2 linked regions of the Canis lupus familiaris genome follow. The protein of the gene in region 1 purifies or fractionates together with the protein of each later gene. This does not show direct contact. Links are inferred from orthologs where the notes say so. Each region holds a gene or a part of one and is shown in the gene's direction. Other genes may lie near its edges.

The links.
Region 2: the proteins of CAMLG (region 1) and TNFRSF13B purify together in Homo sapiens (affinity purification with western blotting; 3 studies listed by BioGRID and IntAct, with this or other methods). This does not show direct contact. The link is inferred for Canis lupus familiaris from reciprocal best matches to the Homo sapiens genes CAMLG and TNFRSF13B.

What each region holds. Positions count from the first base shown.
Region 1 is NC_049232.1:22,826,980-22,837,918, forward strand, and holds the start of CAMLG (calcium signal-modulating cyclophilin ligand), read left to right. Parts: upstream 1-5,493; 5' UTR 5,494-5,637; coding exon 5,638-5,809; intron 5,810-7,578; coding exon 7,579-8,039; intron 8,040-9,827; coding exon 9,828-9,893; intron 9,894-10,939. UniProt on the Homo sapiens protein: Required for the post-translational delivery of tail-anchored (TA) proteins to the endoplasmic reticulum.
Region 2 is NC_049226.1:42,692,847-42,701,820, forward strand, and holds the end of TNFRSF13B (tumor necrosis factor receptor superfamily member 13B), read left to right. Parts: intron 1-3,007; coding exon 3,008-3,184; coding exon of another isoform or gene 3,185-3,369; exon of another isoform or gene 3,370-3,631; intron 3,632-3,667; coding exon 3,668-3,921; 3' UTR 3,922-3,934; intron 3,935-4,092; 3' UTR 4,093-5,465; downstream 5,466-8,974. Other genes in the region: USP22 (ubiquitin carboxyl-terminal hydrolase 22), read right to left, coding at 7,843-7,933. UniProt on the Homo sapiens protein: Receptor for TNFSF13/APRIL and TNFSF13B/TALL1/BAFF/BLYS that binds both ligands with similar high affinity. Mediates calcineurin-dependent activation of NF-AT, as well as activation of NF-kappa-B and AP-1.

The sequences.
Region 1 (10,939 bases):
GAGAGAGAGAGAGAGAGGAGGCAGAGACACAGGCAGAGGGAGAAGCAGGCTCCATGCACCGGGAGCCCGACGTAGGATTCGATCCCAGGTCTCCAGGATCGTGCCCTGGGCCAAAGGCAGGCGCCAAACCGCTGCGCCACCCAGGGATCCCCAAGTGACTAATTTTTTAAAGGGATATGAATACCTGCTAGTCACTGAATTGTGCCATGTTTTACATTCAAGTCAACGGAGGCTATTGCGGAAAGCACTTTGAATCTAAGCTGGTGTCTGGGATGTCATAAACCAAATTCTTGGATGCTCACTCCTCAAGGATTGCTGGGTTTAAAATTCTAGATTGAAAGGGGTTGTTTTTGTTTTTTAAAATTCTTGACATGTTTAAGATACTACTCCGTTGTCTTCTGGACCCTTTGGTTATTGATAAGATGCCTACTGTCAACCTGATTGTTATTTTGAAGATAATCTGTTAGCTTTCAAGATTTTTCTTTTTTCCTTAATATTCTATAGTTTGGCTACTTTGAGTTTATAGTTTATAGTGCTTGTTTTTCAGAGCACATTTTAATCTGAAAATCCTCATGTATCTTGATATCTGGAAAATTCTCAGCTGTTTATTTTTTTAAGTGAGAGATGATTGACATAAAGCTATTTTCTTTTAAAAATGTGTCGTTTAAAAAAGTTGTCATTTTCTTTTTTACTCTCAGAGTTCCTATTAGATGAATATTTCCACTAATTCATCTTGTAACTGTGTCCAGGTTGCAGTTTTAATTTCATCTAATGAGTTTTATATTTATATAACTATTTTTCATTTTCAAGATTGATTTTTTTAAAAATATCCGTGTAGTTTTGATTGATTAATCCCCGATTTTGTAAAGGGATTAATAAAAAGAGAGAGAGGCTTATAATTAAAAAATTATAAAGGCCTTTTCATAAAATTATTTCTTTCTGGAGCAAATTGTAATTTTTTAAGTTTTTATTTTAATTCTATTTAGTTAACAGTGTTTTATATTAGTTTCAGGTGTACAATACTATAATTCAGCACTTACATACATCACCTGGTGCTCATCATAAGTACACTTCTTCCTCTTTTTTTTTTTTTTTTTAATTTCAACTCTACCCCACCCTGTGGGGTTTGAACTCAGGACTCTAAGATCAAGAATTGCATGCTCTTTCAACTGACCCAGCCAGGCACCCCTCAACAACTGCATTCTTTAATCCCCATTCCCCATTCTTTAATCCCCTATTTGATCTATACCCTCACCCCCCACGAATTCCAATTTTTAATTCGGCTGGCAATTTAAATATCCATGTTTTTCAAAATTTGAGTTTGTAGACTCATTGGAGTGAGAGAATCAGAATTTTTTTTAAGAATTTTTTCTTAAAAAGATGTATTTTATTAATGGAGACACCGAGAGAGAGAGACAGAGAGAGAGAGAGAGAGAGAGAGAGGGAGGGAGAGGCAGAGACACAGGCAGAGGGAGAAGCAGGCTCCATGCAGGGAGCCCAACATGGGACTCAATCCCTGGTCTCCAGGATCATGCCCTGGACGGAAGGTGGCGCTAAAGCGCTGAGCCACCCGGGCTGCCCTGAGTGGGAGAATTTTTGTTTTTGTTTTAGCTTGTCTCTATCCAAGCCCCTTCACCTATCTATGGGTGTTTTTAGTCATATTTTCTAGCCCTTTCCCCAAAACGAGGGCTCATAGTGGTGTTTTTGGGCTTCTGTGCTGCAGTGATTTGACTGAAATCACCATTTCAGTCACCAGCAGTGGGAAGACTAGTTGTTGCCTTCTTCTGCCTCCCAGATTAAAAGTTGAAGTCCAAAACTTTGTGGGTCAATAGTGAATGATACTTTGAATATTTTTGGAGGGAGGGAAGGCCTCAAGAAGTGAGTTCAACCTGTTTGTCTCTGTGTGTTGTGTGGAGGACTTTCAGTGGCTTTTAGCCCCTAGAACGTGCTACTGTTGCCTGCCTCTAGACCTGCAGCCCCATAGGCACCTGACTTGTTTAGCTCTGCGATGCTGTTTCTGATACTTTTTATCTGCTAAGATGTTTCTCTTGTTTTTGAGGTTTTTAAAAAATTATTTATTCATGAGAGACACAGAGAGAGGCAGAGACATAGGCAGAGGGAGAAGCAGGCTCCCTGTGGGGAGCTCAATGCGGAACTCCATCCCAGGACCCTGGGATCATGACCTGAGCTGAAAGCAGATGCTAAACCACTGAGCCAACCAGGTACCCCCTGTTTTTTAGTCTTGCTATTTCTTTTTCTCCCTTCATATTTCTAGCTGTTATTTCTGTGTAAAGAGGGATCTGAGCATGAACTTCCTACCTAAATTTCACCCCAGAAATTGAATTCTAGTTTCATCACTTTCTGACTCAATCTCTTCAACTTCGTATTACATGTTATCAATAAAGTATTATTGCTAACCTGCCTAAACAATGCTACATAAAAATTTAAAAAATGATACATGAAACTAATTGAAAATGCCTTATTTTGACACTTCCTCTAAAAGAAAGATTTCTTTGGGGTGCCTGAGTGGCTTAGTGAGTTAAGTATCTGACTCTTTCAGCTCAGGTCTTGATCTCAGGGTCATGCCAGCTTGGAGCCTGCTTAATAAAACAAAAAAAATTTTTTTTAATTTTTATTTATTTATGATAGTCACACAGAGAGAGAGAGAGGCAGAGACACAGGCAGAGGGAGAAGCAGGCTCCATGCACTGGGAGCCCGATGTGGGATTCGATCCTGGGTCTCCAGGATCATGCCCTGGGCCAAAGGCAGGCGCCAAACCGCTGCACCACCCAGGGATCCCTAAAACAAAAATTGAAACTAAAAGAGGGATGCCTGGGTGGCTCAATTGGTTAAGTGTCCAACTCTTAATTTCAGCTCAGGTAATGATCTCAGGTCATGGGATAAGCCTGGCATTTGGCTCTGCACTTAGCATGGGGTCTGCTTGTCTCTCTCCCTCCGTTCCTCCCCCCACTCATTCATTCTCTCTCTCTCTCTCTCTTCTCTAATAAATGAAATCTCTAAAAAAATAATAAATAGTAAAATTTTAAAGATTTTTGCAACTATTCATAAAGGTTTGACCTAGTGCTATCAGTGCTTTGCTATAGGTTTGGGGCAAAGTGGTAAATTTTTAAAAAAAAACATTTTATTTATTTGAGAGAGAACAGGAGCATGGAAGAGGGCAGAGGGAGAAGCAGACTCTTGCTGATCAGTAAGCCCCATACCAGACTCAATCCCAGAGATCATGAACTGAGCCACTTAAGACAGCCGCTTAATCAACTGAGCCATCCAGGCACTCAGGAAAGTGGTAAATTTAAAAAAAAATGAGTGGGTATGCCCTTGTAAAGTCCATAATGAGGGTAATAGAAATTAATATAAGAATCTTAAGTATTCACACCATTTATCAAAGAATCCTTTATACCATGGAGAAGTACTAGGCAGTTTAATCAAACTACAGAAACCCCACAGGGAAGTGGTTCCCAAGAGATAAGTGAGCATGTAACATAAAATCCTCACACTTTGAATCCTTAGCAAACTAAGGGCACTATCATGCATCGACACAGACAAAATTTAAATTTTGCTTCTATAGGGTCTATTAAATGAAAAAAATAGTTTATCCTGGAATTATATTTAGTTTTGGTTCATCAATTTTTTATGTCATTATGTTCTGTACATTTGTTTTTTTGTTCTGTACGTTATTATGCTTAACAATTACTTCAGTTTTAGAAGTTTAAAAAAAACTGGCTTAGAGATATAGTTCTGTACATACAGGCAGGGCAACCTTTTCTAGTGCTTCATAATTATTAAATAGGGTGTGTCCTTGCGATTTAGCTTTTATCCAATCAAGGGAGAAAGTCCGTGTTTATACCTTGGCTCCTCTTTTCTTTCTTTCTTTCTTTTTTTTTTTTTTTTAGATTTATTTATGCAAGAGAGACACAGAGAGAGGCAGAGACACAGGCAGAGGGAGAAGCAGGCTCCATGCACCGGGAGCCCGACGTGGGGATTCGATCCCGGGTCTCCAGGATCGCGCCCTGGGCTGAAGGCGGCGCTAAACCGCTGCGCCACCCAGGGATCCCCCCTAGATTTATTATTATATATTAATTGTCATTACACCTTTCTTCTGACTTTAATAAAACACACTTTCTCGGGTCCCTCCCGCTACCGTGGTCCTCAACGCTGCCTTGAATAACTTGGCCCTGCTGAGTGCTCATGCTATTCCAGGAGTTGCAGTTCCCAACAAAATGCAATGCTTGTGCCTTTCGGCCGGAACCTCCATCTTCCAGTAATTTGCCAAAATGACCAACACAAAGGGAAAGAGGAGAGGTACCCGCTATATGTTCTCTAGGCCTTTTAGAAAACATAGAGTTGTTCCTTTGGCCACATAACATGCGAATCTATAAGAAAGGGGATATTGTGGACATCAAGGGAATGGGCACTGTTCAAAAAGGAATGCCCCACAAATGTTACCATGGCAAAACTGGAAGGGTCTACAGTGTTACTCAGCATGCTGTTGGCATTGTTGTAAACAAACAAGTTAAGGGCAAGATTCTTGCCAAGAGAATTAATGTCCGCATTGAGCATATTAAACACTCAAAGAGCCGAGGTAGCTTCCTGAAGCGTGTGAAGGAAAATGATCAGAAAAAGAAGGAAGCCAAAGAGAAAGGTACTTGGGTCCTACTGAAGCGCCAGCCTGCCCCACCCAGAGAAGCACACTTTGTGAGAACCAATGGAAAGGAGCCTGAACTGCTGGAACCCATTCCCTATGAATTCATGGCATGATAACTGTAAAGAAAATAAAAGACCTCAGGATTGTAAAAAATAAAAATAAAAAAAAATGCTTGTCTTCATGGAGCCTACATTCTATCTAATGAGAAACATTCAAAATAAGTACATTTAGCATGCAAGTCAGTTGTAACTGTTAAGAAAAATAAGGCAGGTAAGGGGAATATGGAGTCTTGAGAAGGGTGGCAATTTAAACAGAATGGACAGGGAAATCTCCACTGGGACAACCCTGAACAAAGACGTGAAGAAGGCCAGAAACACGTAAGATAAATATTTGGGAGAAGAGCGACTGAGGAGAAAGAATAAACCTGCGCCAAGAACACATCCTAAACGCAACTCTCTCTAAAGCGTCGCTCCCTACTGACGTATTTCCGTCGTTTAGAAGCGAGGTCGCAGACGGTCACTAGAAACAAGTGCCTGGCGCAATAGCCTCCATTTTGCTTTTGGGCACCAGCCGTTGGTGGGTTGGGGCCTTGCCCTCCTTCCTTTCCTTCTTTTCAGCCTGGGGGCTAATTTTCTTCACTTTCGAGGTAACAGTAGAGAAGCCCGGTGGCCTGGGAGAGTGGCCACGAGGGCTAGCCCAGGGAGGAGGACCTCCCCCAACGCTTCGTACCTCCCCCACGCTTCGCCCCCCGCCCGACTGCCCTCATTCAAGATGGCGGCGCAAGCCTCGCGCTTTGTCCGGTCGGATGGCACGCATGCCTAGCACGCCTGTCTGGCTTGGCGCTCGGGGGCGGGTCTACGGCGGGGTGGGGGGGCGGTGGTGCGCTCGTACCCTGCGGCCTGGCCTGAAGTCATCTGCGGCTCGGCTGCCGCTGCCAGCAACACCTTCAGCGTTCCCTGGTGTTGGTGGGGAAGATGGAGCCGTTGACTGTCGCGTCTGACAGCGGCGACCGGCCGGGAGCTCCAGCGACCTCTGGCCTGTCGGCTTCCCAGCGTCGTGCGGAGCTGCGGCGGAGGAAGCTGCTCATGAACTCGGAGCAGCGCATCAACCGCATCATGGGCTTTCACAGGCCCGGGAGTGGCGCGGGTGAGAGCCTCCCGTCTCCCCTTACTCTCCCGCCCGCCGCTTTGAGTCTCCAGGGCCATTCCTGCTCTCTTTCCCTCCAGCGCCCCGCTGGCCTTTTTGACAGAGCCTTGCTCTCTGACCTTCCCTCTGTCCCGGACTTTTTTTTTTTTTTTTAAGATTTTATTTATTCATGAGAATCCCAGAGAGAAAGGCAGAGACCGATGCAGAGGGAGAAGCAGGCTCCTTGGGATCACGCCCTGAGCCACCCAGGTGCCCGTCTGTCCCCTCTTTTTAGGTGATGTCCCAAGTTCTCACTTATCACCCCCCCCCCCCCCCCCCCCCCACACACACACACGTTTCCCCCGTTTTGTGCGGGCTTCGCTCTGCTTGTCCCCATCTCCGCCCCAGGCTGCGAAGCCTTGGCGCCTCCGCCTTGGCGCCTTCTGGCCCGTTATGCCAGACACCCCCAGCTTCATTCCCCACGCTCTCCCTTCTGTCCCCGGTTGCACCGCTCTGCCTGTTATGTCCCTCGGTAAAATTGCTCTTCGGTTCTTTCCCTTCGAAATGCTTTTCCTTCCAGTGCCTTTGCCATAGCGTCTGTCTACCTTCTTTTGCCTTTCGCTGTTGCTCTGTCCGCCCCCCGGAGCCTGTGTTTATTTACCTGCTCCCCCAGTCCTTCCTACGTGGTCATCTATCCTGGTGCCTGTGTCCAGTGCTCTCAACACTGTCCTCTTCAGGCTTTCTAAACAGATAAAACTGAGTGACCATTCTTTACCCCAACAAGTGGGACGTGCCCCACCCCCACCCCCACCCCCAGGTCTTTTCTCCCAATTTGCTGAGATTGATGTGATTGAAGTCAGGAACCGCGTTTAACCCGAAAGAGAGTTCCTCATTTCTCCCCCAGTGCGTGTACAATTCAATGAATATTCATGTGAATATTTATTGAACATGTAGTATGTGCTAGTGTTCTCTTAAGTTTCCATGGAGCTTCTTTAGTAATTGACCTTTACTCAGTATTTGCAAGCTACTGAACGCTTTGTGATTTCTGTGGGCTTCTGATAGTCAGTCCTGAACACTTAGATAGTTTGCAGGTTCACAGCCAAAACTACCAGGGAAGGTAAGGAGCACTATTTCAGATTATCCTAGAACAATAGTTAGACGCATTTCTCCCTTTAATAACAGACAGCAGGTATTTATTATTTCCCAAGACATTTATTGTCCTTCTCAAGTTATATTCTATATTTTGTTCTTTAATTATGATAATTCTATCACTAAAGCTTTTGTTTTGCTTTGGAAGCAGAACAGCATCCTCAAATTGCTTAATTACCTACTAATGGCTCCCTCACTACAGTAGAAGGATTACGTAAACAGTAGCTGTAGGGTATGCCACACCCTATGCTGACCAGATTCTGGGTTCAGAAATGTGATATTAAAGTACAGATTTGTAAAAGCTTTAATGATTTTAATCAAATAAGCTACAGCAGGCAATGCAGTCATTCTTCTGGGATATATTATCCATGAAAACCTGGTCTGTATAGCTTGCTCCATCTCCATGACCATCTTGCCCAATTTGTCTGCTAGTCTTATCTTCTACTCCCAGAATTTGGGTTGTATCCTCTGCCAGAATACTCTTCTGGGGGTGTAGAGGAAGAAACTAGTTTATGTTTTACGCAGAATCAGTGTTTAGATTCAGAGACTGCAGAGTTCTAGCAGCGGCATATTTTTTAATATTAATATAAGAGCTGTTTGCCAGTATACACTCCATAAGGCTTCTAAATTTCTTTTCTCAGAAGAAGAAAGTCAGACAAAATCAAAGCAGCAGGACAGTGACAAACTGAACTCCCTCAGCATTCCTTCAGTTTCAAAGAGAGTAGTGCTGGGCGATTCGGTCAGTATAGGAACAACTGACCAGCAAAGTGGTGTGGCCGAGGTAAAGGGGACTCAGCTGGGAGACAAGTTGGACTCTTTCATTAAACCACCTGAGTGCAGTAATGATGTAAATCTTGAGCTCCGGCAGCGGAACAGAGGGGACCTGACAGCAGACACTGTTCAGCGGGGTTCACGCCATGGCCTTGAACAGTACCTGTCCAGATTTGAAGAAGCAATGAAGTTACGGAAACAGCTGATTAGTGAAAAACCCAATCAAGAAGATGGAAATACAACAGAAGAATTTGACTCTTTTCGAATCTTTAGATTGGTGGGATGTGCTCTTCTTGCCTTTGGAGTCCGAGCTTTTGTTTGCAAATACTTGGTAAGAAACATGGAAAATGCAGATTGGCTATATAATGAGTGCTTTTGATCCATGGAGTTGATTGCCGGTATTAATATTTACCAGATTAATATGGCTGTTTTGAGATATATTATTACACTGCTCTTCCCCCTAGATATAGATGAAATGTTCTGGTTGAATACAGAGCCCAATAATAATTACTTAACTCTGTATTCTAGGCAGCATTCTGAGTGCTTTCCATATATAAACTCCTTGAACCTCATCCTTCTGACTGTGTTTTATAGATGAGGAAATGAAGACTCAGAGGTTAAGTCATTTGCCCAAGGTCACATAGCTACTAAATGACAGCTGGGCTTTAATGCAGGCAATTTCTTTCCAAAACCAAAGGGTAAAGTATCTACATGTATCATATATTAATTACTACTATTTAAATAATTTGAAACCTTAAAATGCAGTCCCTGTGGTCCTGAACATGATGTAAATTTCCTGTGATTCACCAAGCACTTCAGCATTTTATAATGTTGTAGTATCATCGTGATGGCAGTCCATCTTCACCACGCCTTCACTTCACTCGCCAGGAGAAATGAAGAAAATCATAGCTCATATTTCTGTGTCTTGCTTTTTTTAATTTTTTTAATTTTTTTTTATTTATGATAGTCACACACAGAGAGAGAGAGGCAGAGACACAGGCAGAAGGGAGAAGCAGGCTCCATGCACCGGGAGCCCGACGTGGGATTTGATCCCGGGTCTCCAGGATCACGCCCTGGGCCAAAGGCAGGCGCCAAACAGCTGCGCCACCCAGGGATCCCTGTGTCTTGCTTTTGGAAGAACTTTCATTCACTAGACTTTTTAAGAATATCTACCCAGTACCCAATTTGCACATAGCAAATTTTTCAGATAATTAAAGTTTATAGTAAACAGCAAGAAAGGTTTTAAAAATATACTTAATGGACATTTTTTAAAAAGTGAATCTGTCATACAGACTTTTTTTCTGACGTTAAATTGTCATTATAGCTTTCAGTATTTAAAAATGAGATGTATGGCTGCTTCCTTTTTCCTTTTTCTTATCTAAAGGGCCATGTGTTTTTAGGATTTTAAAGTTATGTCCTATATTTGTGCCTCATTTTTGTGTGAGGTTTTTTTGGTTTTCTGGGGTTTTTTGCTATCAGATTTTCAGCTGTTACTTCTCACTGCTTATATTATACATTCATCTGTTAATGTTTACTCCTTCACTCCCTTCATAATATTTTTAGTTTTAGGAATAAATGTAAATTAATTATTGTTTTGACCTTTCCGATTTTATTGTGTGAGAAGCAAGACAACCACTCCATTTTATCTATAGTAAGAATAGCTTGCCATTTGGATGCTTAACAATGTAGCTAGTGAGATCATTACTTGCCACAGTGTCTGGGAATGTATGGCATCTATTGAATACTGGGTCTTTTATGTGTGCTTTGAAATTGTCAGTTAATTACCTCTAGACAAGAGAGATGTTGCTGCATGATGTATTATACATCTATATCACCTCTGAATACTTTAAATCATTGAAAGAATAAATTTTTGCGAGAGTAGACTTTGGGGGGACATCAAAAGAATGTAACTTGACTTGAGAAACATATTTTATGATAAGGAAATCCATTCCCTTTATTTTTTTCACCCTTGAGCAGAAACAAGACTATTTTCAGCTTCTAAAATATATATATATATATATATTATTTTGCTTGGAATTTTATTGTTGCTGTTAGTTTAATTTGTTGTGGTTTAAATGATGATGTTGGAAATACATAATTTTATCTTCTATCTTCACAGTCCATATTTGCTCCGTTTCTTACTTTACAACTTGCGTACATGGGACTATACAAATATTTTCCCAAGGTAAATTAAGCTTTTTCTAAATTATGGTGATGTATTTAGACTGATTAATGATTTGACAATTTTAAGAACTTAAAAAAAAAAATTAGTCATACTCATGGTCTGAATCAGTGCTACTAGAAGTATCCTTGGCCCACCAGTGCTGATCTTAAAGCTATTTATTTGTTTGTAACAAGTTCAGAAAGCAAGTGATTAGAAACTTCTTAGCAATTCCACGTTGCCTTAACATTTAACAAAATTTTGGTCCACCGTGGATTGGAGGGAAAACTTAACCATGGAGTTTGAATAATACTTGTCTGAAAAGTGTTCAGTTTAATTACTTAGTGAATTTAGTAATACATTTTATCTGTAATAAAGGAAATTAATTTTTAAAAAATATTTTATTTAGGGATCCCTGGGTGGCACAGCAGTTTGGCACCTGCCTTTGGCCCAGGGCGCGATCCTGGAGACCCGGGATCGAATCCCACGTTGGTCTCCCGGTGCATGGAGCCTGCTTCTCCTTCTGCCTGTGTCTCTGCCTCTCTCTCTCTCTCTCTCTCTGTGTGACTATCATAAATAAATAAAAATTAAAAAAATAAAAATAAAAATATTTTATTTATTTATTCATGAGAAACAGAGAGGCAGAGGGAGAAGCAGGCTCACTGTGGGGAGCCGGATGCGAGATGTGATCCCGGAGTCCTGGGATCACTCCAGAGGCAGATGCTTAACCTCTGAGCCACCCAGGCATCCCAGAAATTAATTTTAAAACGGGTTAAATTACCTTACTGTGCTCCTTATTGGACACCTAGTAACAACACACTTTATCTTTAATGTCAGGGGCCTGGTATTTGCAAGAAATACTTGTCCAAAATTGCAGAACAGAATCCTGGAGAGTGTCATGTTTACCTAGTCTGCTTAACTACAAATGTATACACAGTTTTATGGGACTTGGCTGGCATAGAGGGTAACCTCACTTATGTCATTGAGTGTTGTGTGAATTTTTAACTGAAAAACAGGTTCATGGTCATTTGCTTAGTCATTTGTAATGAACTGATAGACCTCATATGTGT
Region 2 (8,974 bases), on another chromosome or scaffold:
CTGGGCATGGGACCTACCTTCCCACATTTCCTCATCTAGGGCACATCTTCAGCTTCTTATGTGGTTCACACCGCTGCTGGCATCCAAAGTGCTCACCTCCTGCTTTTGCTGCATACCTCTTGGGGATTGGGCCATTTTAGGACGACCCAGGCTGCGGCTCTGAACAAAGCTCCAGCAAACCCTGTGTCTGTGTGGGTGGGATGTGGCCCTGGAAGTGAAGTTGGGGAATCCACGGGAATCGGGAAAGGGTGTTCCCCATGTTGGTAGATGGTGCCAAATGGCCCTCAAACTTCTCCCCCTAGCACTACCACTAAACGAGGTGCTCTTGTGAGATAGATGGGACACCTGTACTTTTAACCTGTGCTTCCCTTCCTCGTTCGGGGGCTCTGAAGCATGTACTAGGGACAAGTCACCAGCAGGTCCGCGGGAAGCCGCAGATCGCTGCTTCTGGCCGAGGGGTGAAGAGCAGTGGGGACTAGCCCCTCACTCCCTCAGGAGCACAATCTCCATGCTGTTTGTCTACTGCAGCCTCCAAAAGCCACCAAAAACTTAGTGGCCTACAAATAACCCCTTCATTATCTTGCAGGGTTCTGTGGGTTCCTGGGCTCAGCTGGGCAGGTCTGGTGTCCACTTGGGGTTTGTGTGCAGCCGCAGGCAGGTGGTGGGAGGATGGAGTCACTTGGAGGCTTGGCTCCAAGTGGGAGGCTGGGCTGACCGGGCCACGCTCCTCCCCACGTGACCTCTCCCTGGGCAGAAGCCAGGGCTGCCAGGCCTTCGGAGGGCTCAGACCAGGACGGGCACAGAGGGCACTGCTGCCTCCCACTGGCTGCAGGGAGGCCCAGCCCAGCCATTTTGAAGGGAGGCTACGAATGGGAGGCGGTTCTTTGGGGACCATCTGGGAATACGTGCTGCCAGGTTTGGGTGTTAGAATTCGTGCTGAGAACATCTGAACTATGCAGCTGTTTAGACTCTCCTTGAATCTACGTGGCAGTTCATTTGTACCCAGCAATCTGGCGGCCAGGCATTCCAGCTCTGACGTGAATGAAGGCTGCTGGCCTCTCCCCTGTGGATTCAGTGATCTGATGTCATTTTGTGTCAGAGGCGAGTAGGAGCAGTAGACAGACAGAAAGACCTGGAAGTTGGGAAATGGGAACGGTTTCCTGGCTCTGCCCTCTGCCCTATGACCCTTCCCTGCTTCCTTTTTCCTCTGAGGGCCTTGGTCTCCAGATCTGTAGCACCCGAGTATAGTGGGTGTGCCCTGCTGGGGGTCCTTTGCTTCCCCCTGCCCCATGGCCTTCTTGAGCTCTGGGCAAGGGGCACAAAGGACAGCACTGCCCAGAGCCCCTGTTCTCCCTCTGTAAATGTCGGGGTGGCACCTGCCAGTTCTGTCACTTTATAAAACTCGGGATTCTGAGGCACGTGTGTAGGGAGTGGTGTCCTTCTCGTTGCCTCTGTGTGGCCAGCCCAGAACACTGGCCCAGAGCCCATCAGACCTACTCCCAGTGGCATCTGTGACCAGGAACAGTGTGACTCTGAATCGGTTTTGTCACCTGCAAAATGGAATGTAAAATGGTGCAGCCACTGCTGGACATTCCCCAAAAACTTAAACAGAGAATTACCATCTGACCCAGAGATTCCACTCCTAGGTATAACCCAAGAAAACTAAAAACATGTGTCTGCATGAAAACTTGCATGCAAATGTTCACAGCAGCACTATTCACAATAGCAAAACATGGCAACAACCCACACGTCCATCGGCAGATGAACGGCTAAACATGTTATGACCATACAATGGAGCATGATTCAGCCATAGGAAGGAGTACAGTCCTGCCACACACGACAGTGTGGATCAGCCTTGAAAACATGCTCAGCGAAAGCAGCCAGATGTAGAAGGACACAACTTGTATGATTCCATTCATATGAAATGCCCAGAATAGATATCACAGAGACAGTAGATTAGGGGCTGTCAGGGTCTGGGGCAAGGGACATTCAGAGTGACTACTAGTGAGTTCACAGGTAATGGAAACTTCTCCCAATCAGATGGTGGTGACGGTTACTGAACCTCGTGAATATACTAAAACCCACTGAGTTGCTCACTTTAGAATGAAGAATTTGATGCATATGAGTTCTATCTCAATACCCAAAGGTGGAGTCATCAATCCTCCTTCCCAGGAGCAGAGGAATCACGGGGGCCACTCCCCAGAGGGCCTGCACGTAGTAACGTAGTAAGGGCTCAGGGGGTCATCCACATCATCAGTGTATTACATACATGTATTGACTCTGGCCCATCTGTCCTTCCACCTGGGGCCTAGGGGGTGCCCTGATTCCAGGGGCCAGGAAAAATTTCAAGGGGAGGGCTTTGGAGCTGAGTCTTCCTCTGGCATCCAAACCAGAGGCTCAAGACCCTGAGAAGTGGGGTGACCAGCACCCCAGTTCTCCTGGGCCCTCCTGGTTTGCTATCCCAGATTCATTAGCAACTGGACCTGTCCCACTCTCGAAGTCTGCTTCCCCAGGAAGGCCACCTCTTGGAGGAAGGCCCAGGTCAGGGCAGAGTCATCTGCCCAGGACTATTGTCTCTTCACTTATCCATCCACCTCTGGTACTGGCCCGATCTAGGTCCTATGGGAAAGAGCAGATGGCACACAGAGCCAGCTCCAGAGGTGTCCAGCTCTGAGCTCTTAGAAGAAGTTGCTACCAGCCTGGGGTAGAGGGGGCTGATTGTCTCCAGAGTCTAGAGAAGGGTCCACACCAGGCAAGCCTGAGTGAGGCCGGGAATCAACTTCTCCAGGAGCCAGACAGGTGGACAGCATGCTGGGGCTGAGGGCTCTGCCCTCCAAGGGGGCAGGTGGATGGGACGGCCATGTGGCTTGCTTGGGCTCAATGAGGGAAAAGAAAGATTGCAGGACAAGGGGCTGCTAGCCTGCAGGGACACTTCAGAGAAGGGCCCTGGGTGGTGGAGAGCCCCTCCCAATCTCGTGCCTCACGGGAGCTTTGTGGCACCCCTCAGGGCTGAAGCTGAGCACCGAACAGTTGGCCCTGGTCTACAGCACTCTGGGGCTCTGCCTCTGTGCCATCATCTGCTGCTTCATCCTGGCGGTGGCCTGCTTCCTCAAGAGGAGAGGGGACCAATTCTCTTGCCAGCCCTCACCAGCACCATGCCGGACCCAGGCCAAGTCCTCCAAGGGTGAGCACAGATCGGGCCCTCAGACTCCCGGGGCCTGTGGGACAATCTGCTGGTCGGCCTTCTGTCCTGGCACTGGCCCTGCTTCCAAAAGGACAGCAGTTTGCCAGCCCTTCCTGACAAAGGCCTGGGGCACATCCCTGCAGTACTTTTTCTGTCTGGTGAGATCAGTTCACATCAAGACCTGAGGAAGCGTGGATGTGGGCTGCCGGCCGCCGGCTTGGCCCCGCACAGGGCTTCCGGGCTGAAACCTGGAGGAGGTGGTCCCCCTGGGGGGCCTAGGGGTGGTCGGCCAAGGGGCGAAACCTGTTCCTTCCCAGCAGAAAGGCAGCTGGCGCTGGGGAGTGGGCGAGCCGGCAGTCCGCTGACCGCGGGGAGCCCAACTGGCCGACAGCCCAGCCGGCCGCGGGTCCCCTGGGGCAGGGCAGGGCGCTGAGGACGGGCGGGGGCCAAGGCCAAGGCCATCGCCCTCCGCCCTTCCCGCAGATCACTGGATGGAAGCGGGGAGCGCCACGGGCGCGTCGCCGCCAGAGCCGGTGGAGACGTGCAGCTTCTGCTTCCCGGAGCGCAGGCAGCCCACCCAGGAGAGCGCGGGCGCGCCCGGGACCCCCGACACGGCGCCCTCGGGCCGGCGCGGGCTCCTCGGCCTCAGCGCCCCCGCTCGGCCCTGCGCGCGCGCCCCGGACCGCGGCCTCGAGGTCCTGTGCGCCCCCGCCCAGGAGGGAGGCCCCGCTGCCTGACGACGCGGGCAGGGTGAGCCTGGGGGACGGCTGGGGCGGAGGGGGAAGAGGTGGGGAGGGAGGGGAGGGTGGAGAGGGAAGGGGAGGGTTGAGACAGGGGGAGGGAAGAGAGATGCGGAGGGAGGCGGGGAACAGGTCGGTCACCGTCTTTATCCCACGTGTCCACTGCAGGTCACCACCCCTGCATACCTGCAGTGAAGTCATCCTTGCCTGCCGGACTCAGCCCCCAGGAGCCCTTCCTTAGAAATAAAACCTTCTCGGGCTGCCCACTCCTCCCTATCCCTGCTTTCGGTCGTGTCTCCCCTGCGGTGACTCTGGAGGTCCCACCTCTCCCGCTCGCCTCCCTGGGCTCAAGGCTCCACCGCAGCGCAGCCGCCTGGTTTCCGAAGACCTGCGAGTTGACGGTCCCCACCAGGCTCAGGACCCGCCGAGCTCGGTGACCGGTGCCGGTGGGAGGCAGCGAGCACACACGGGACTCTGCTGTGCGCTTTCTTTTAAGAGGGAAAGCCAAAGGATGGAGCGAAGCCAGTGTGCCTCTACAGGAGGGCTGGGCACACCTGCATTTCTTTTCTGAAACAAAGTCCCCACTGTGCCTCCTTAGGCATGGTGAAGCATGGTGCAACGTGTGTGTGTGTGTGTGTGCATCTGTGTGTGTGTGTGTGTGTAGTGGGCTAGGGGTGGACAGGAAGGTGCAGGCTGAGCCCAGGGCGCCAAGCTGCTCTGAGCCCGAGGCTCTTTGCCTGCCCCCCTCCCCAGGAGCCTTCTCATTTGCAGGCACCTTTGGCCTCACCTAGCTACCAACCTGCACGTCTCATGGCTTAATATTCTTTATATTAACTCCCCTTTTCTTCTAGCCCTACTTTAATCTCATGCTGAATTTTATAAGTGATAACACTAAGAATATCTGAGCATCCACACATTTTCAATGTTACCTATATTTTCTATTTGTAGTAGCATTGAAATCTATATTTCAGTGGCACTGAAAATGCATAATGATTCTTAGAAGCATTTACACAGTAAGAGAAATACACAATTGTGTAAATTAAAATGATTCATCCTGTGCCACCCAACATTACCTTGCACAGCTACGTGCACCAGAGGTTCACATAACACACTTTGGGAGGTGTAGACAGGGTGCCTGATGCTCCATCTGTCCACCCTCCAAGGGCTAACAGGCTGTCCCGGCTTCCTGAGGCAGCTGTAACAAAGTAGCACACACTGGGTAGTCTAAAGGCGAAAGTCGCTGTTCCCCACTTCTCCAGGTGTGCCATCTGGAATCAAGGTGCCAGCAGGAGCTGCTTCCTTCTGAAGGCCGCAAGGGAACCATCTGTTCAGGGCCACTATGCTTGGCCTGCATCTTCCTCTCTGTGTCTAGAGTCAAATTCTATCCTTTGTACAAGGACACCAGTCATATGGGATTAGGGCTCACCCCCACCCCTCATTTAACTTGATCACCTCAAGATTCTAAGTCCAAATAAGGTCACATTCTGGGGAACTGAGGGTTAGGGCTTTAACACATGAACTGCCGGGGGGGGGGGGGGGGGTGTGTGACAACATCATTCAGCCCATAACACAGGCCCTGCCCCAAGCCCACCTCTGCTTCATCTTTATGACAAGCAAGTTGGCTTCTAAAAAGTGTCTGCCCAAGACACGTGTCTGTGGCACAGTCAGCCCCACAGGGCAAGTGGTGACGCCCTGGCTGCAGTGTTTCCTACAGCCATGTCCTTGCCAGTAGCTGATCCTATTACAGGATTGAGACTAAAGCCCTGTAGCTGGTGTAGATGTCCCAGCGTGGTGACAAGATAATGGCACACTTGGGAACCTCACAGGTGCCGCTTAGGCGGGAAGGCTCCCTTGGAAGGTGTGCGGCTTTCTACCTCTTCTCAAGTTTTCCAGCTCTACCCATCCAAACCCAGAGACTCTAGGGGATGTTTCTGGTACTGTGGGGGCGGGGAGTCAGGGCTGCTGAAAACGTAAGGTGCTGAGTGTCCGATCCTGGCAGCCATCAGACCAAACTTATCTTGTTTTTTGTCAGTCATTTGATTGCTCTTTGGTGTGTGTGTGTGTGTGTGTGTGTGCGCATGCGTGCGCACATGCTTGCACATATGTGTTTTAATACAGGGATCTCGTTGGTAGACAGTAAATCTGAAACTCTAAATACTGTCCATTTTATACATGCTCTGGATAAAATTCTGTTGGTTCTATCTGAAGCATCTATTCTGACTCCTGCCACTTGTCACAGGCGTGGAGGCAGGCTCCTGTCACTGCTCCCCTGGGTGAGTGCACCAGCGTCCCCTGGCCTCTCTGTCACCTCCCTGTCCCCCAGCCCAGGGCTCAGCAAGCTTTGCTGAAAAGTATCAGAAAGTGAGTATCTTGGGCTTCAGGACCATTCGGTTCCTGCTACGGCTGCCGGACGGTTACTCAGCCCTGCCACTGTAGGGTCCATTCAGCCATAGACAGTATCGAGCAAGCAAGGATGGCTGTGTTGCATAAAACTACTTCTAGAAACAAGAGGCAGGCCAGATTCGAACCTCAGGCCATACTTGCCAAGCCCACCCTATTACAAATCCCTGCCTAATAGCTTCAACGTCCAGATCACTTCTGACCCTGGCTCTGTGGAGTGATTTGTCTCTCAGCAGTGCATTGTTTTCACTTGCTCACTTGTGTGTCTTGTATTCCTTTAAGGAATGCCGGATCTGTGTGGGGCAGCAGTCAGACAGAAGGAAGAGGTAGGGATGCCTGCAAATGGGCACACCTCTTCTCCTGCCAGGCTGTCAGTGTGAGCAGTCAAGTCAGCCAAGCTAGGAGCTGAGCTGGGTTTGGGTTTTGTTGTTACAGTCACCTTTTGTGCCTTGCTAGCTGCAAAGTGCCCTGGTGTTACCATGTTCTTGGTGGCAGGGGGTGGCTGGGCTGGTGATATTCCTGCTATGAACTCGGCTTTACACCTTCCCTGTGTGCCACTGCCTAAAGAGGCTCTTTCTCCATTCTTTGCTCTCTGTAGGTGGTAAGTCTACCATTACATCACTTGGTGCTGGCCCATCTGACGGGTGGCGGAGCCACCTTCCATCCTGGTGTCAGGCAGGCCATGTTCCTGGGCTGAGGGGCTGAGCCTTTTCCCGTGATGCTTCCCTCCCCTGGGAATGGACAGTTTCCTGCCCCTAGATAGAGTAGAGGGTATTTGCCTTCCTACTGCCCACAGTGGGTATATCATCTGTATCCTGAGTTCACAGCCCCTTCCCCAGCTTTGGTTTGTTGGGAAAGAAGAGTCTGGGGGGCTGTGAATACTTCCAGCAGCCAGGGCCCCACGCCTGCTCCTCTGATAGAGGCTTCCTGTGGTCCCTGCCTGGTGCCTGGTTTTTATGAGGTCCAGTGGAAGTCTGTGGAGAAGCACCTGCAAGTGGGTATCAACTCCACTTGTTTGACTTTCCCAGAAGTTCTGTGCTCTCATGCAAGCCTTCAAATCATGGGAGGACTTGCTCTTGCCCATTTTCATGGCAGCTTTGCCTTCTTCCTTGCACTTGGCCACAGGTGGCCACTGTTCATGTCCCCTCTCTCCTTGGAGGCACCTGCCTTCCTTAGACTCCAGGCTAGTCGGTTGCCCTGCAACTTTAGCTCACAGATGGGCTCAGAGAAGATATAGTTTTGTGGATTATCCAGCTATATTATCATTTGGGAAGGAGTGGCCTTCTCTCTGGCTTTCTCCTTCCTAGGTGGCCTTGGAAGCCAGGGTGATCTTATAAAAATATCAATGACATCGTGTCTTTTCACTGCTTAAAACTCTCTCATGGGTTCTTGACACAGAACAAAATCTCCACCTTTTACAGGGGCCTCTGAGCCCATGTGTTCTGGCCCCTGGCCTCCTCTCAAACTCAGCTCATATCACACTCCAGGGCACCCACCACCCTGCAGCCCCACTCACCCTCATCCTCCTGCCCTGAGGCCTTTGCGTTTGCTGTTCCCTCTACCAGGAATGTGCTTCCCTGCATCTTCACCCAGGTTGGAGGGGGTGCTCCTTTTTAAAAAAAAAAAAAAAAAAAAAAAAGATTTTATTTACTTATTCATGAGAGACACAGAGAGAGGGGCAGAGACATAGGCAGAGGGAGAAGCAGGCTCCATGGAAGGAGCCCAATGTGGGACTCGATCCTGGGACTCTGGGATCACACCCTGAGCCGAAGGCAGGCGCTCAACCGCTGAGCCACCCAGGCATGGAGGGGGTACTCCTATTGTGCAAAAGTCAGCTCAAATGCCATCTTCTCAGAGCCCCCTCCCCCCACCCCCAGCAGTTTCTCTTTTCCCTGATTTCTTAAAATCTCAGAAATCTCAGAGAAATGATTTTGGAAACTTCTCAAAATTAATTTTTGGTACAAAGGAGATAGGGAAGGGAGAGATTTCCTCCAGCTGTGCTTCTCTGGCTCTTGGTATTTTACATGAGCTATCTGGGCCGGCAGTTCTCAGCCTTAGCTGAACATGAGAATCCCTGGGGGGAAAAATCTGCAAAAAAAACTCCCAAAACTCCAGATGCCTGCACCACACTTTAGATCAATTAAATCAGATTCTCAAGAATGGGGAGGGCCAGGCATCCAGAGGCTTTTTAGGCTCCCAAGTGGCTCCAGGTGAAGAACCAGTGGTCTGGTCCTAAAACGGGCCATATCACCCACCAGCCTGACATTTGATCTCTTTCCAAGAGACCAGGGACAGGTCCACCATCTGCTTAGCAAAATACCTTGTTTCTCCTTCCTAATTTTTGTTGACACTCCCTCATTTATAGATTCATCAAAGGAAAAATACCAAACATATGCTAGGAAATGGACATAAGGGCTTGGTATGCATTTTTCCTTGTGAGTCAGAAGGCACACCACAGATCCCAAGAGCCCCAAGCTTGGCTTTCAGGTTTAGGGTTTTAAAAATTATTTATGTAAGTCTTACTACATGCCACGCATTTTTCTAAGCACTTTCCACATATTAACTCAAATTTTTTCCATATAATAATCCTATGAGAGGATACTAGTAGTGTCCCCCATTTTCTAGATGAGTTTAAGTAGCTCACCCAAAG